Linked DNA regions of Lonchura striata. Each later gene encodes a partner of the first gene's protein in a complex. Links are inferred from orthologs where the notes say so. Each region holds a gene or a part of one and is shown on either strand. Other genes may lie near its edges. The genes, in order: S1PR1 and C-type lectin domain family 2 member B-like.

Evidence for each region.
Region 2: the proteins of S1PR1 (region 1) and C-type lectin domain family 2 member B-like are in contact, whole or in part, in a cryo-EM structure (PDB 8G94), measured with the Homo sapiens proteins. The link is inferred for Lonchura striata from reciprocal best matches to the Homo sapiens genes S1PR1 and CD69. Residues at the interface, in NP_001307659.1 of Homo sapiens: Asn157, Leu160, Phe161, Ile164, Ser165, Trp168, Val169, Leu172, Ile173, Gly176, Ile179, Met180, Gly181; in NP_001772.1 of Homo sapiens: Val41, Ala44, Val45, Val48, Val49, Thr52, Ile53, Ile56, Ile59, Ala60, Val63.

The regions. Positions count from the first base shown.
Region 1 is NC_134611.1:23,116,954-23,124,647, forward strand, and holds the start of S1PR1 (sphingosine 1-phosphate receptor 1), read left to right. Parts: upstream 1-4,649; 5' UTR 4,650-4,779; intron 4,780-6,023; 5' UTR 6,024-6,143; coding exon 6,144-7,283; 3' UTR 7,284-7,694.
Region 2 is NC_134609.1:37,192,255-37,199,998, forward strand, and holds C-type lectin domain family 2 member B-like, read left to right. Parts: upstream 1-4,774; 5' UTR 4,775-4,874; coding exon 4,875-4,917; intron 4,918-5,612; coding exon 5,613-5,711; intron 5,712-5,813; coding exon 5,814-5,992; intron 5,993-6,192; coding exon 6,193-6,293; intron 6,294-6,383; coding exon 6,384-6,498; 3' UTR 6,499-7,108; downstream 7,109-7,744. Other genes in the region: C-type lectin domain family 2 member B-like, read left to right, coding at 107-205, 308-486, 687-787, 878-992. UniProt on the Homo sapiens protein: Transmembrane protein expressed mainly on T-cells resident in mucosa that plays an essential role in immune cell homeostasis.

The DNA.
Region 1 (7,694 bases):
AAAGTGCAGATTCTCACAAAAATGTATCTAGTAAACTTTTTACAATTGCCTTTTTAAACAAAAAAGGCCATTTAATTAATATCATTTGTCAATATCAAGCACTTAAAACCAGACCTCAGTTATAGAATCTAAGTTACAGAATACTAATACTGAAAAAAATATGTGTGCTTTAATCTTTGCAATGTTCTCATTACTTTTTTTTTTCCTTCAAACCAGGTTTTTGATTCTAATCTGAAGAAAGAAGATAGGGAATTTTTTAATACTGTGAATATCAACAGAAAATTAATTCATCTAACATACTCCCTGTGGAAAGAATAATTTAAAACCAGATTGTTCTAAACTGGAAAAGTGATGTAACCTGAACATTAATTAATTTTAAACTGAACAATAAATCTGAATTGTTCTCTTGGGCAGGCAGTATACTCAAGAATCAGTATAAATGGTTTGTAGTTACTCTTATGTTAACAAATTAATAAAATAATTTAATTTACTGTGTGTAGCTTTCTTACAGATGCAGAAATACCTTCAGTGTCTTTTTTGCTTTCTTAGAACTTTCCCGTATAGTCTCCCAGTATGGGTTAGTTATCTCACAATATTATAATTTTCTTCTGCCTGCATGTATTTCATTTAAGGTGTCACTGGAACCCATCTGAACACATTAATTAGGTGTATTTTTTTACTTCCAGATTTTGAAAAGTATTAATTACTTGAAGGTATGTAAGAGCATGGTACAATGTATGTAAATCTTGACAAATGATTCAAAATATGGAATATTTGTTCAGGGATTGCAGCAGAACAATGAATCCAACTTTTTTATTTCTTCCAGTCAAGAGAATTTTGGGGGATTCTGCAGGCCATTCTTGATATTTTCTTGGTGACCAAACCTGCAATTTGGTACTGTTTCACAGATCTCCTGTCATGCCCCAGCACTTCAGAGAGGATTGTCTCCCTTTGTGACCTAAGCTACATCGGGATGAATAAAAGTAGTTTTTGCTTATATGGACAAAGACTTTTGAAAAGTGCAGAAGAATGACGTGTTGGAGAAAAATCCTTTGCTAATCTCCCTTGCAGGGATTGTCACTATCTTTTCAAGATGGATAGTGTTCAGACACTCCTCTGATGCAATTGTGAGCTGTCCAGCTGCACTGGGAGAATTGGGTCTGGTGGTGTCAGAGGCCACCAGTCTTTTGATATGCAGGCATTGGGTGGACCCCAGCTTACAGCTTCTTTTCTGACAAGATCAAAGCATTTTCCTGCAAGGAAATAGCTCTGTGACTAGCCATGTTTCTGCAATCCTGACCAAGCTAAGCTCTCACTGGAAGTTCCACAAGAACTTGGGTTGTCACACACAGTCAGTGTTATTTTGTTGTTGTTCATGCCATTCCCTATAATGTGAGTTTCTGCTCATCCTGGAAACTATCTAAGAGCATATACATACTCAGGATCCCTGTGAAGAATGTGTCTTTCTCTTTGTGCTAGTAGACATGTCACAGAACATTTTTTTAACCAGTTTAGCCAGGTGAGGCGTCTGTTCTGTGTCAGGTTGGTGTCCTGATGTGCACAGCCTTTCTGCTGGCATTTGACAGAGACCTGCATTCTGGTTATTTCTGAAATGCATTAATAACATTGTGTTGTTCTTTCTCCTTATTCTGACCATGGGCAATTCCAGAATCGAGTTCTCAGAGGAGCCGTGTATACACTGGATTTCTGTAGTAGAAGTGCAAGCTTCCTTATCAGTGGACACGGCACTGAGAAAGAGTTCTCATTCTGTTGGTGGCTTGTTTTCCTGGTGAGACTGGAGTTTAACCCTGGTTTAAACCCCCTTGCTAAACACTTACCAGCAACTACAGTTTTGGTAGAGTTGGCTGGACCAACCTGAGTAGTCCCATGTTTGTGTTTCAGTCCTTGTAAGCAGGTTAGAACCTGTGCAGTTGAGCTATGTTAACCTATCTTCTCTGAGGGTTTAGAAAGCCTTCAGTGCAAATCCAGCTGATCTGCCTCCATTTACCTGTGAAGAGTGAAGCTATGTTTCAGTTTCCTCAGTGCCAAGGTGTCAAGAAGGCTGTAAATGTATGTGGTCATCTAAGTTTAACGATGCCTTTTGTGATACAAGTACCCACTTTTTGGAATGGAACTGAAATTGCCTGCATATTTTGCCCAGTGCTGCACCTGTGTTGGACAACTCCCTGTATCACTATCGGGTAAGAGAGGCAGATGTGAAGGACTTGGGGGTGCTGGTGGATAAGAGTCTGGACATGAGCCTGAAGTGTGAGTTTGCAGCCCAGAAAGCCAGTGGTATCCTAGGCTGCACCATAAGGACTGTGGGCAGCAGGTCAAGGCAAGAGGGGATTTTTCCCCTCTGCTCCGCTCTGGTCAGGCCCCACCTGCAGTGCTGTGTCCAGCTCTGGGGCTCTCAGCACAGGAAAGACATGGACCAGACATGGTCAGAGCAGGTCCGGAGGAAAGATGCAAATAATGACCACAGGGCTGGAGCACCTCTTCTAAGGAATGGCTGAGAGAGTTGGGTTTTTTTAGTCTGGAGAAGAGAAGGCTCTGCAGTTACTTTCTTGTGGTGCTTAAGAATATAAAGGGGCCCTACAGGAAAGCTGGAAAGGGACTTTTTACAAGAACATGTAGTGTCAGGACAAGAGAATGGCTTCAAACTGAAAGACAGTGGGCTTAGTTTCAATATTGATAAGAATTTCTTTGCTGGAACAGGTTGCCCAAAGAAAGGGTGGATGTCCCCATCCCTGGAAATGTTCAAGGCTAGGTTGGATGGGGCTTTGAGCATCCTAACCTAGTGGAAGATGCCCCCACCCATGGCAACGGAGTAGGAACTGGGTGATCTTTAAGGTCTTCCATTCCAACCCAAACCATTCTGTGGTTCTGTAATTTTACACAGGCTCTGACAATTAATTTGCTGAATGTCACATCTCTGAGATGGTATCCTCTCAGCTGGTAGCCAATAGCCTGGACATGAAAGCCTGCACATCTGACTAATGAAACCCTGAATCATTCTATCCTTTAATTAAAGCATGTTCCTTTAATATGTTCCTCTTACTTAAAATTATGTAATAATTATTTCCTAGAAGAAAATGCCTAATTAATGCACTTTTATTTAGTATTTTCTATGTATTAGATAAATAAGGGGGAAAGCTTGAAATATCTGGGGTATGTCAGGCAGTTGCAGGGGATACATATGTCAGCCTCAAGCATGATTTATCTCGTGCATTTTCTGACAGTTGTGACTTAACGGCTGCATTTTCCTCCAGGCTCTCAGGAGGCTAAATATCTTTTCAAGTTTCTAGCTTTGTGGTAGAAGAGTAAATGTCTGTTTGCCAGTGTAATTTATCTGAGTCATTCTGGGACGGGTGTGGAGCAGTTGAAGCATGACTATTAGCATAAATAAGAGAGGGACCCTCTTCCTGAGGGTAGAATACTTGTACTGTCTTTCAGAGGAAAGCTGCTTCCCCATAACAACTGCTACAGCTAATTGATGGGCACAATACTTTAAACTGAAAGACCCAATTTATTGCACTTTGGCCTATTGTGATATTCTTTTACATTTCAATTTGGAGTTAACAAGAGCAGAGCAAGGAAGGAAGAGGAAATTTCTGCAGTAAGTGCAACGACTAGAATATACCAGAGCTGGCATTTCACATATGCCAAAGGTGCTTTTTCTTTTAAAAAGAATATACAATATGATACAGTGGTAACAGTGTTAAGTAGTTGCCATTGCCAGTTTTGTTTCTGAAAAAAATGCATTAAAAACTTTTCTTCGTACTTTCAAACATAGTTGTTTTACAGCATCCTCTGAACATGCAGAGGTTAGTTTTGGGGATTTTTAGTTTTTTGGGGGGGTTATCGGTTGGGGGTTTTTTGTTTGGGTTTGTTTGGGGTTTGTTTTGTTTTGGGGTGTTTTGTGTATTTTGGTTTTTGTTGTTTTTTCGGTTTGGTTTTCTTTTTTCATGTGGAAACACCAACACCTGGTGCTGTTTGACAGTGGCAGGAACTGAGTTTATCCCCCATGAGCCAGTTCTGGCTTCTTCCCCGCAGAGTGCAGCCTGGCACCATCCTCGCCCCATGGGGCTGCTGCCTCCCCGGGGAGCCGCTGGTGAGTCACTGCGGGCCACGAGTGCGGGTGGCAGCCACCGGGCCTGCCACGGCAAAAACACCTTGGTTGTAGTGAGAAAATGGAAGAGCTTCTTTCGGGTGTTTCCTTAAACAGGACTTACACTGTCCTCTAAGAGGGGGAACGGAGGTAGCATACGGGACGCTGCCTTTGGCCATAACCTTTCGGGGGGCAGGAAAGCCGGGCGGGCGGGAAGCTGCCCCCGGCACCCCGCAGGAGCCGCGCTGGGAGCCGCCGGGCCGCGCCAGCACCTCCTTCCCCGGAATGCCGGGTGCGCCCGGCGGCGGCTCTCAGGTCAGGGACGGCTGCAGCCCGGCCGCGGCGCCCCCCGGCCCGGCGGGGCGAGCGGGTCCCCCGGGGCAGCTCCTCGCCTCACGCCTTCCGGAGCCGGCCGCTGCTGCCCGCGGGCTCCGCACCAGCCGGGCACGGCAGCGCCGCGGCTCGCGGGGTGGGGCGGTGGGCGGGCTGTCCCGCCGGCTGGGCTGGGCTGGGCACGCAGGGAAGACACGGGAATCGGAAATGAGGGTGGAGAGCAGCAGCTACAAAACATTAAAACCACCGAGCCCCCTAGCCCGCCCACCGGAGTTGCTCCGCGGGCACGCAAGATGTGCGGGGCCGGTCTGGGCTCCGCGCCGCGCTTGAGCCAGGTAAGGCTCGGGGAGCCGCGGCCGCGCAGTCCCCGCAACGCGGGGACGCCTCAAGTCCCAGCGCTGCGGTCCCCGCTCGGCGCGACCCCCGGGGCCGCGACACAAACCAGACGGGGTGGGGAGGAGGCTACCTGGGCGCCGGCGTGCCCGGCTGCTGCCGCGTCCGGCAGAGGCGGTGCGGGACGGGAGCCACGCGCGCGGAGACCGAAGCGGAGCCGGAGCGCTGCGAGTAGGAGCCCCGGAGCCGTGCGGGACAGGAGCGGTGCGGGACAGGAGCCATGGCACTTTTATGCCCGGGAGCGATGCAGACCGGAGCCCGGGAATAGTGTAGGGAGCCGAACCCACTGCCTTGCCCCGCTTAGGCTGTAATTTAGCAAATCTGCCTGTTCTTCTTTCCTTGCCTGATATTATGGGTTTAATTATTTTTAAATGTACTTCTACAAAACCTTTATATGTAAAGGGGGTTTCCTCTATATGTGTATTACTTAATTATGCCCACTTCAAAAGCTTGCAATACTAGTTATTTAAATGCAAGGGGGTTTTTTGACATTCTTACTTTTAGATCCATGGAATGGGCTTGCTCTTCAGCTTAATTCCATATTTTTCTTGTTTTTCTTAACTTTTTACTGCTGTGGGCTTTGTAAAGCATATTCTTACTTGTATTTAGCAAGGGCACCCCTTAAGCTGTTTACAGCTTTGAGATGATTTCTTGTGTATATTTACATCAGTGAATTTACCACTGTTTGAGATGGCATCAGTAAATTGCATAACTATCCCCTTCCAAAGTGTATTCAGACTTTATTAATGGAGGAGAATACAGGTCTGTATCAAGTAATTTCTGTGCAAACTTTTGTACATTTAGAGTTAAATCTCATCAAGCAAGCCCTTTCCCATTTTTAATCTCTGATGTTGTATTTCTCACTGAAGAAAAAAAGACTAGAACTTACTGCTGGAGAGCTTTGAGATCTTTTGTGCTGGAAGAAGTCCAGTAATACAGTCCTTGCTGACTCCAACTTGTTCAGTTCTGCATGACCGAACTTTTTTTGTCTTATTAGCTTTACCTATTCAATATAGCTAACCACCTTTTAAATGTATTTTACCAGCTGAATGAAACTGATTCATGTATGAATACATTTTTTTACTCTGATGTACAGTTAAAACAGCAGATTATTGAACCCTTTAGCATTTGCTACATTTTTAGTCTTCCTTCTTTTAAGTCTGGTTTTCATGCCTCTTGTTCTCAGGGCTGCAGTTTGTGAGGCTGTGCAGCAGTGTCGGGCCAAGGATTTTCGGGGCAGCCACCGGGTTTGCGGTTGGCGTCACCATCCGGCGGCTGCTGGGGGAGCAGTCCCCAGCCAGGCACCATGAACTCTGGCACCACTGCCCCGCAGAAGGTCACCAGCAACCCTACCAACACTGATGTCAACTATGTCATCAAAGAGCATTATAATTACACGGGAAAGCTAAATGAGAGTGTGGACACTGGAATTAAAGTGACGTCGGTGGTTTTTATTATCATTTGCTGCTTTATAATCTTAGAGAACATTTTTGTCTTGCTTACCATCTGGAAAACCAAGAAGTTTCACAGACCCATGTACTATTTCATTGGGAACTTGGCTCTTTCAGACTTACTGGCTGGTGTGGCTTACACTGCCAACATCCTGCTATCTGGACACAAAACCTACAGCCTGACCCCCAACCAGTGGTTTGTAAGAGAAGGCACCATGTTTGTTGCCTTGTCAGCTTCTGTGTTCAGCTTGTTGGCCATTGCCATCGAGAGATACATCACCATGCTGAAGATGAAACTCCACAATGGCAGCAACAGCTTCCGCTCCTTCTTGCTGATCAGTGCGTGCTGGGTCATCTCCGCAATCCTTGGGGGGCTCCCGATCATGGGCTGGAACTGCAAGAACCTCTTGTCCAACTGCTCCACCGTGCTGCCTCTCTACCACAAGCACTATATTCTCTTTTGCACAACCGTTTTCACTGGCCTTTTGTTATCTATTGTGGTCCTCTACTGCAGGATCTACTCCATGGTGAGGACTAGGAGCCGCAGGCTGACATTTCGGAAAAACATTACCAAAGCTACCAGGAGCTCAGAAAAGTCACTAGCCTTGCTCAAGACAGTGATCATAGTCCTGAGTGTCTTCATTGCCTGCTGGGCTCCTCTGTTCATCCTCCTTTTACTGGATGTGGGGTGCAAAGTGAAGACCTGCCCAATCCTCTACAAAGCAGAGTATTTCTTAGTACTGGCCGTGCTCAATTCAGCCACAAACCCTATCATCTACACCTTGACAAACAAAGAGATGCGGAGGGCATTCATCAAGATTTTGTGCTGCTGCACATGTCCCCCTGCAGATTCTGGGACCAAATTCAAACGGCCAATCATTGGGGGGATGGAGTTCAGCCGGAGTAAGTCTGACAACTCCTCACACCCACAGAAGGAGGACGGTGACCATCCTGAAACCATCATGTCTTCGGGCAATGTTACCTCATCTTCTTAGGAGTAACCATGGGGGTGTATTTCAGAGTCTTCCTCTGAAATGAGGGAGCTGGGACGCCTCCTGCTCACAGCAGCAGCGTTGGGCTGAGTGAGCAAGTAGCATTAGTTCTAATGAGGCAAACAGTGCACTTGCGAGGCTGGAGTTCAAGAAATGGGACACACTGTTCTGGCTTGAAAATCTTTTTCCCTGGAGCATGTTTTGTCTTTGCGCTGAGGCAGCTCAGGATTGTCAGGCGCATTCATATCCTGAAATCTCCTTAGTAACTCTGAAAGACTGATGCCTTGGTGAAATGATGCCTGGTGTGTGTGAGAGAAAGAGAGAGGGGGAGGAGGGAAAGGGAGAATGAATATTTTTTTTTTTTCCTGTGAGAAGAATGTGAAGTTTTTTCTCTTCACAGCAAACCACTGACAC
Region 2 (7,744 bases), on another chromosome or scaffold:
AGGGGCACAGTGGCTGAGGGGTCCCTGCTGTGCTCCCTGGGCACGGGGTGAGCAGATTGCAGGGCCGGGTCTGGTTCTGGCAGCCAGCAGCTCTTTCCTGCTCCAGGTGAATGGTTCAGCTCCCGTCCCGTGCTCACGGCGGTGCTGATTCTGCTGCTCCTGGTGCTGGTGCTGGCTTTGGGGGTGGCCTTGGCTGTGCAGTCAGGTAAGGGAGGGGCAGCAGGCTGGGCCCAGCCCCTCGGGGCAGAGCAGGGTCCCTGCTCCCTGCAGAGGGGAATCCTCAGACCTTCTCCTCTTCCCCCTCCAGCACCACAGGTTCCAGTCACACCTGCGACTCCGCAGTTGGTTCTGGGCTGTCCCCGTGGCTGGGTTGGGTACAATGGGGTCTGCTACTACTTGTCAAGGGATTACAGGAGCTGGGATCAGGCTCAGGAACGGTGCTCGGAGCTCGGGGCCTCCCTGGCCATTCTCCAGGATGAGGCCATGGTGAGTGAGGGGCTGCGGGTGGTGTGGGGTGGCTGAGGGGAGCCTGGGGGTGCTCCTGGGCCGGGCTGGGTGCTCGTAGGGCTGGGGGTGCAGCCCTGTGCCGGGGCCTTGCAGGGAAGGAGCCCCGGCGTGCGGGGGCAGCCCCGGGCACGGGTCCCCCCGAGGGGCCGGGGCAGCTCCCACTCCTCTCTCCTGGGCAGGATTTGCTCTTCCGCCTCCGCGGGAACGTCGATTACTGGATCGGGCTGCGCAGACGGGGCGAGCGCCTGCACTGGGGGGACGGCAGCAGCTACAGCTCCAGGTGAGTGCCGGGGAGCCGGGCAGGGCCTGGGGGCACAGGGGCACAAGGTGTTCCCCTGGGAACCAGCGCTGTCTCTGCTCCTCCCTGCAGGGTTCCTGTCCTTGGCAATTCCCCGTGTGTGTACCTGGCTGACAATAAATTCAGGACCAGGGATTGCTCAAATGAGCGGCCGTATGTCTGCAGCAAGGCCCAAGCTGCCCTGTGACAGGGCTGCAGAAAGGACCTTGTCCACACTGGGCAGTGCCAGCTTCGGCTCTGAGCCCAGCCCAGGGCTGTCCTTCCTCAGCTGCACCCTGTGCCTTGCACGGACTCTCAGGGTCACCTCAGTGCCTGTCCATCCCCAGTGCCAACACAGGGGTGGGTGTTCAGGGGAAAAGTCTCTGCAATGCATCCTGCCCCCGAGGTTGCCTGCAGTGAGTGGATTGTCCTCATTACACAACAAGATCCAGTGAGCAATCTAATCTCTCTGAGGTCTTGGAAATCATCACAAAGTGGCCTGAAGCTGGCACTTCTGGACTGTCTTTGGAGAGGAAGAAGAACAGCTGACACCTGCTGAGGAATCCCAATTTGCATCAGGTATCTTACTGCAAGTAGTGGTTTGTCTGTATATCTGTCTTTCTGTTGGAAAGGATCTGACTGTCCTCCTGTGGAAAAATGACAACCAGGAGCAGGTCAAGGATTTGTCTCCCTGAGGGACAAGCATTGACATGACATGATTGTAACTGCCATCCCTCTGTGCCACTGTCTGAGGAGGAGGGAGGGAGGGAGGGAACTGAGAATAAAATGGAGCCCAGGAAGGAGAGGATAGCGTGGGGAAGGTGCATTTTTAGGATTTGGCACACTTCTCATTCCCATGCTCTGATCTGTTTGATAATAAATTCAACTAAAATCAATGACCCCAGTGGGAGCCTGTTACACCCATGACAGTGACAGATCTCTCGCTGCCTTTCCTGAGCCCCTCGAGCCTTCCCTGCTGTGTCCTGTGCCTGCCCAGGGGCAGGAGGAGAGGCACAGAGTGGCTTTGCTGGCCCCGGGTCCTGGCCCGGCCCAGCCCAGCCCCAGAATCCCTGCCAGAATTCCCTGCACCATTTCCCGGCCCCACGGCGGCTCCGGCTCCGCGGGCAGGCGGCTCCAGGAGTTCAGAGGGGTAAAACGGGACCGAGGGAGAGGAGGCAGCTGGAGCCAGCGGGGGAAATGTCTTTGCTGCGAGCTGGCAGGGAGAGGAGGAGGCATAAAGTGATGCAAAGTAAAGGGGAGAGAAAGAGGGACAAGGCTGGAGCGGTGGAAGGCGGCGGGGATGCCATGGGGCAGGCGGGCATTTTGCTTTCCAGCTGTGTGGGAGGAAACCGAGAGCTCTCAAATCCATGTAGGAAAAGAGGGGATCTCGGGGTTCTGTGGTCAAGATGAGCCAAGATCCTAAAAAGTTTTTTCCTCCCAGCCCCGCAGCCAGAGTCGCTTTTGCTTCTCAAGGTTGTTTATTTTCTCCTATCTATAACATTCAATTTCTGACCTGCTGACCTCTGCCTGGCAAGTCAGATCATGGCATTCTGTCTGCCCTCTAGGCTGGTGTTAACATTTTATATTATGAACTTCGTATACTTTATTTACCATTAATTTCCTACCCATCACCTATGTTAGACAGTGTGTCTCTACTCCAAACCAATAAAAGTGTCACCATCATAGTGAAAGATGGAGGACAAGAAGGAGAAGATACATCGAAATTCCTCCCTCTTGCCTCCTCAACCCCATTCTAAAAAAACCCCAAATTTCTGCTTTTTACCCCGTGTTACATTAACTCAACTCTTGTGACCTGTAAATCTTCACACAAAGTTGGCAGTTTTTTCCACGGACTAAAATCAAAGCCACGGGTGTTTTTGACTTCGTGCCAAGGTCTCCGAGCCCCCTGCCAGGGTCTGGAGACAGCCAGGGCAGCCAGAGGGATGTGCTGGGCTCCCACCAGGGGAGAAGTAGCAGGTGGTGGTGTATTGGCTTTGGTTCGCTGATTTTGAGATTTTTTGCTTATTGTACTAAATTAGCATGGTGGGTTTAGTGTTGGCTAATTACTAATGTGTTTACTTTTTGTTGTGGGGTAGGATTAGGAGAAAGGTAAAGTAAGTTTAAAACTTTAAAAGGCTATGAAGAGAAATTTATTTACAGTAATTAAGAGTAATAAGAATTAGAAGAAAACATTTAGGGCACTTTTTTTTTTTTACTGGTAATGTAAAGGAAGAAATCTTAAAATATTAGTTAGCTTACTACTTTTCAAATAGTTTCTTTCAGATTACGGAGGGAGAGAAGTCTCTCTCCTTAATGTTATGGAGACTTCTCCACAAGGAAAAAAACCCACGTTTTTTATGGTTCTTAATTTTTTTACCACAAGTTGCTGCTTGGGGAAACTTGTAATTGTGATGTCTCTCTTGTGTTTTACAAGCTTTTTTTACAGCTTGTTTATGGGCTATGTTAACTTATGGGGTATTGTTTTAAAGATGAGTTGTTTAAAGGTAAAGGTTTTTATTATCTGTTTTTGAAATTATTTTCATCTCTGGGAACAGATATTTTTGTTTTCTTGGGGGCACAGTATTTTATTAGTCTTCTCTCTTTTTTTGTTTAAACTTTTTGTAGTTACTTTAATATTTCTTTACTTTGGTTTGGAGGCATTTGTTTGATATTAATTTGAACTCTTTAGCCATCTATACTTTTAAGAGTTATTGGGACAAAAGTCTTTGTTCCATAGTTTTCTAAGAGGATTTTAGCTTTAAGATTTAGGCATTTCTTTATTGCTGTTGTTTGGGACTTTATTTCTTCTTTAGTGACTGTGAGAACCCCGGCCTTGCTCTGGGGTCTCATATGGTGGTGAAATTCTTCCTCCAACCTGTGCTTCCAAAGAAAAGCTCCGCAGGCTTTAGCTGTTCGATCTCAAGGCAGTTTATTTTTAGTTATCTAACAGATTATGTTCTTGGACTGCGGCTATTTGATCAGCGGCCTGGGTAGAGGCACACACACACACTGACATCCTCTCTATCTGCTGTCTTCTTTGTCTCTCCCATCTGCCCAGGGCTGCTGCTGTCTTTTATAAGATATATTATGTATAACATGTTTACAATTATTCCCCAATACCTACTACCTACGCTGCCAAGTGTTTTTCTACTCTAAACCAATCTGTGAGTGCCAACATCACCAAGAACATGAAGGTAAGGAAAAAGAAGGAGGAAGAATAGGATCAGCCCACTTTCCTCCATCTTAGAACTTCTGACCCCCATGTACAAAGTGAAAACCCCCTGTACATGTGTTAAAACCCCCCTGTACAATACTAAAAAAATTTCCCCTCTACTTTGTAATTACTTATACTATACTATCTAACCTTTTGTGACTGCTTGTTCCACCTCCAAAGTTGGTAACTCATTCCATGGCTCAAACTCAAAATCACAGCTGTTTCCAGCTGCCTGCCAGGGTCTAGAATGCTTCTGACCAAGGCCTGGAACCTCTAAAAATGTCTGAGAGACATTTTGAGTTCCCACAAGTGACTTTGATGATTTCACGTTGTTCTTTTACATGTTGGGGTGTTTTGTTTGGTTGGTTTGTGCCAGCAGCGGCTGCAGGGCTGGATTTTGGGTTCTGCCGGTTCAGTTCGAGCTGCAGGGTCACGGTGCACGGGCCGTGGGGCCGCCTCTGCTCTGAGCTGTCCGCGCTCCGTGCTTGTTAACCGCAAGATAAAAAACACGAGTTCCCGAGTTTTGTTCGTCTGAAACATGCGTGTTTCATAGAAGGGCGTACAAGTGTGAACCGCCAATAGTTAACCCTTCGCGGTACGCGGCCCGCCCATCTCCAGCAGCCGGGGCTGGGCTCGGCTCCCCCCGGCTCCTCCCTCCGCGGGCCAAGGGCCGCCCCTCGCTGCTTTCCCACTTTTGACTGGTGAGAACGGCCAAAACCCTCCCACACCGACACCGGCTCCACCCTACATGGGAATTCCACTGTCCGTGGGGTTAGTCAACACATGTGTCGGTCCTTTCGGCCGGGAGCGGAGCGGCGGCGGGGGGCGAGGTCGTGAGGGACCGGAGCGGCGGCGGCCCCGGAGCCCGGCGAGGCGATGGCGAAGCTCGGAGGCGGCTCCAGCCCCGGCGGGACCCGCGGTCGGTTCTGCCCCAGCTCGGGGCTCGCTGCGGGCGGAGGGGCCGTGCTGAGGGCCAGGGGGGTTCTGGCGAGTTCCTTGTGCCGGGTTCCGCCGGGTCCCCCTGCGCTGGGATCGCGGAGGGAGCGGCTGCCCGCGCTCTCCTCCTTGCCCGGATCGCTGGGGACGAGCCGGGGCCGCAGCAGCGATGGCTCGTCCCGGTTGCTCTCGCTCGGGCGGAGGCGGCTGCTCCGTGCCCGGGACAGTTCCCGGCCGTGCGGCTCCGGGCTGGGGCCGCTGCTCGGGCGGGAGGTGTCCGTGCCCGGCTCGGGCGGGCAGTGTGTGGATCTGGGCTCTTATGGATGGATTGCAAAGAGCAGCAGGCACGGAGTGGGCGGAAAAGCGCCGTATCCGCGTCCTCCGGGGCGGAGCCGCCTTGGGTTCTTGATATGCTGGGCCTCGTCAGTGGCTGGAACCAAGAGCCCCAGCTGCCCCCAAGGCTGTGCAGTTCTCCTGCTGCAGCCTGTCCCCACAGCTGTGTCCCTGCCTGTCCCCACAGCTGTGTCCCTGGCTGTGCCCAGGCTCTTGGCTCTCTGGCTGCCAGCTGAGTGAGGGGCACAGTGGCTGAGGGGTCCCTGCTGTGCTCCCTGGGCACGGGGTGAGCAGATTGCAGGGCCGGGTCTGGTTCTGGCAGCCAGCAGCTCTTTCCTGCTCCAGGTGAATGGTTCAGCTCCCGTCCCGTGCTCACGGCGGTGCTGATTCTGCTGCTCCTGGTGCTGGTGCTGGCTTTGGGGGTGGCCTTGGCTGTGCAGTCAGGTAAGGGAGGGGCAGCAGGCTGGGCCCAGCCCCTCGGGGCAGAGCGGGGTCCCTGCTCCCTGCAGAGGGGAATCCTCAGACCTTCTCCTCTTCCCCCTCCAGCACCACAGGTTCCAGTCACACCTGCGACTCCGCAGATGGTTCTGAGCTGTCCCCATGGCTGGGTTGGATACAATGGGGTCTGCTACTACTTGTCAAGGGATTACAGGAGCTGGGATCAGGCTCAGGAACGGTGCTCGGAGCTCGGGGCCTCCCTGGCCATTCTCCAGGATGAGGCCATGGTGAGTGAGGGGCTGCAGGCGGTGTGGGGTGGCTGAGGGGAGCCTGGGGGTGCTCCTGGGCCGGGCTGGGTGCTCGTAGGGCTGGGGGTGCAGCCCTGTGCCGGGGCCTTGCAGGGAAGGAGCCCCGGCGTGCGGGGGCAGCCCCGGGCACGGGTCCCCCCGAGGGGCCAGGGCAGCTCCCACTCCTCTCTCCTGGGCAGGATTTGCTCTTCCGCCTCCGCGGGAACGTCGATTACTGGATCGGGCTGCGCAGACGGGGCGAGCGCCTGCACTGGGGGGACGGCAGCAGCTACAGCTCCAGGTGAGTGCCGGGGAGCCGGGCAGGGCCTGGGGGCACAGGGGCACAAGGTGTTCCCCTGGGAACCAGCGCTGTCTCTGCTCCTCCCTGCAGGGTTCCTGTCCTTGGCAATTCCCCGTGTGTGTACCTGGCTGACGATAAATTCCGCAGTGAGATGTGCTCAAATGAGCGGCCGTATGTCTGCAGCAAGGCCCAAGCTGCCCTGTGACAGGGCTGCAGAAAGGACCTTATCCACGCTGGGCAGTGCCAGCTTCAGCTCTGAGCCCAGCACAGGGCTGTCCTTCCTCAGCTGCACCCTGTGCCTTGCACTGACTCTCAGGGTCACCTCAGTGCCTGTCCATCCCCAGTGCAAACACAGGGGTGGGTGTTCAGGGGAAAAGTCTCTGCAGTGCATCCTGCCAGTGGTGCTGCCTGGAGTGACTGGATTGCCCTCATTATATGTTAGGAACACAGCTCTCTATTCACCCTTTTGATAAAAGTTTTTATACATACCTTTAATACAGACATAGAAATTATTTTATAAATATTTTAAATGTTTATATATTATGACTTTACATTAACATGTTCTTTCGTTTGGTTTTAACTTTTGACTTGTCTTCATGCTATCTTGTCTAATTAAACCAATATAATTTATGTTTTCTTGTGGTTCTATCTTGTATTTTCACTCCCTGATGAGGGTCAATAATTCTTCTTTTTGTTCACCACTCTTGTTTCTGATTCCATTATCGTGTCTTTCAGATAAGAAAGTCCCCAAATATGGGAAATCAATTATTTTACATCATTTTCTGAGTTAGTTACATTAAACAATCATTTCAGCATTTCACAGTCTCTATTATTTCACGCTCTAAGACAGTATCTATTACATCTCTAGTTATAGAAGCTATATGGTGCATACATACAGTGACAGGTTATACTATATCAAAAGCAGTAATTACAATGTGTAGTATATCGGAATTCTTGTGGTCAATAATAACTTGAAAAACCAAAGTTAGTACATAAATGTGAAAGCCATAATTATAACATAATAGAACAAACTCGACTGGGGAATGCAAATTTCCCTGGATTCCTGGAAATCATCACTGGCCTGAAGTTGAGACTTTAGGATGGTCCTTGGAAGATGTGAGAAAGGACCCTCACTTTAAAAATTTCAAATGCTCATGAAATCATAACAAAAAAATACGATACTAAGGAATAATTACAACACTGGGCTCTCTGGGGCTATCAGCCACGTGCACATTTACAAAATGGGTGCTCTGCCTTTTATACCCTCAGCCCCTCCCAGAGTTGTGTCAGTGAACCCCTTCTCTGCCGTGCACTGGTGCAGATCACTTCCTTACATCTCGACTGCAGCTCAGGTGCTGTCCTGTCGCCCCTCCTGGTAAGAAGCCGGCCCTCCCCAAATGCCCTGGCTGCTGAGGCTGCTACAGGGGCAGGGGAAAGGGGGCTGGGGGAGC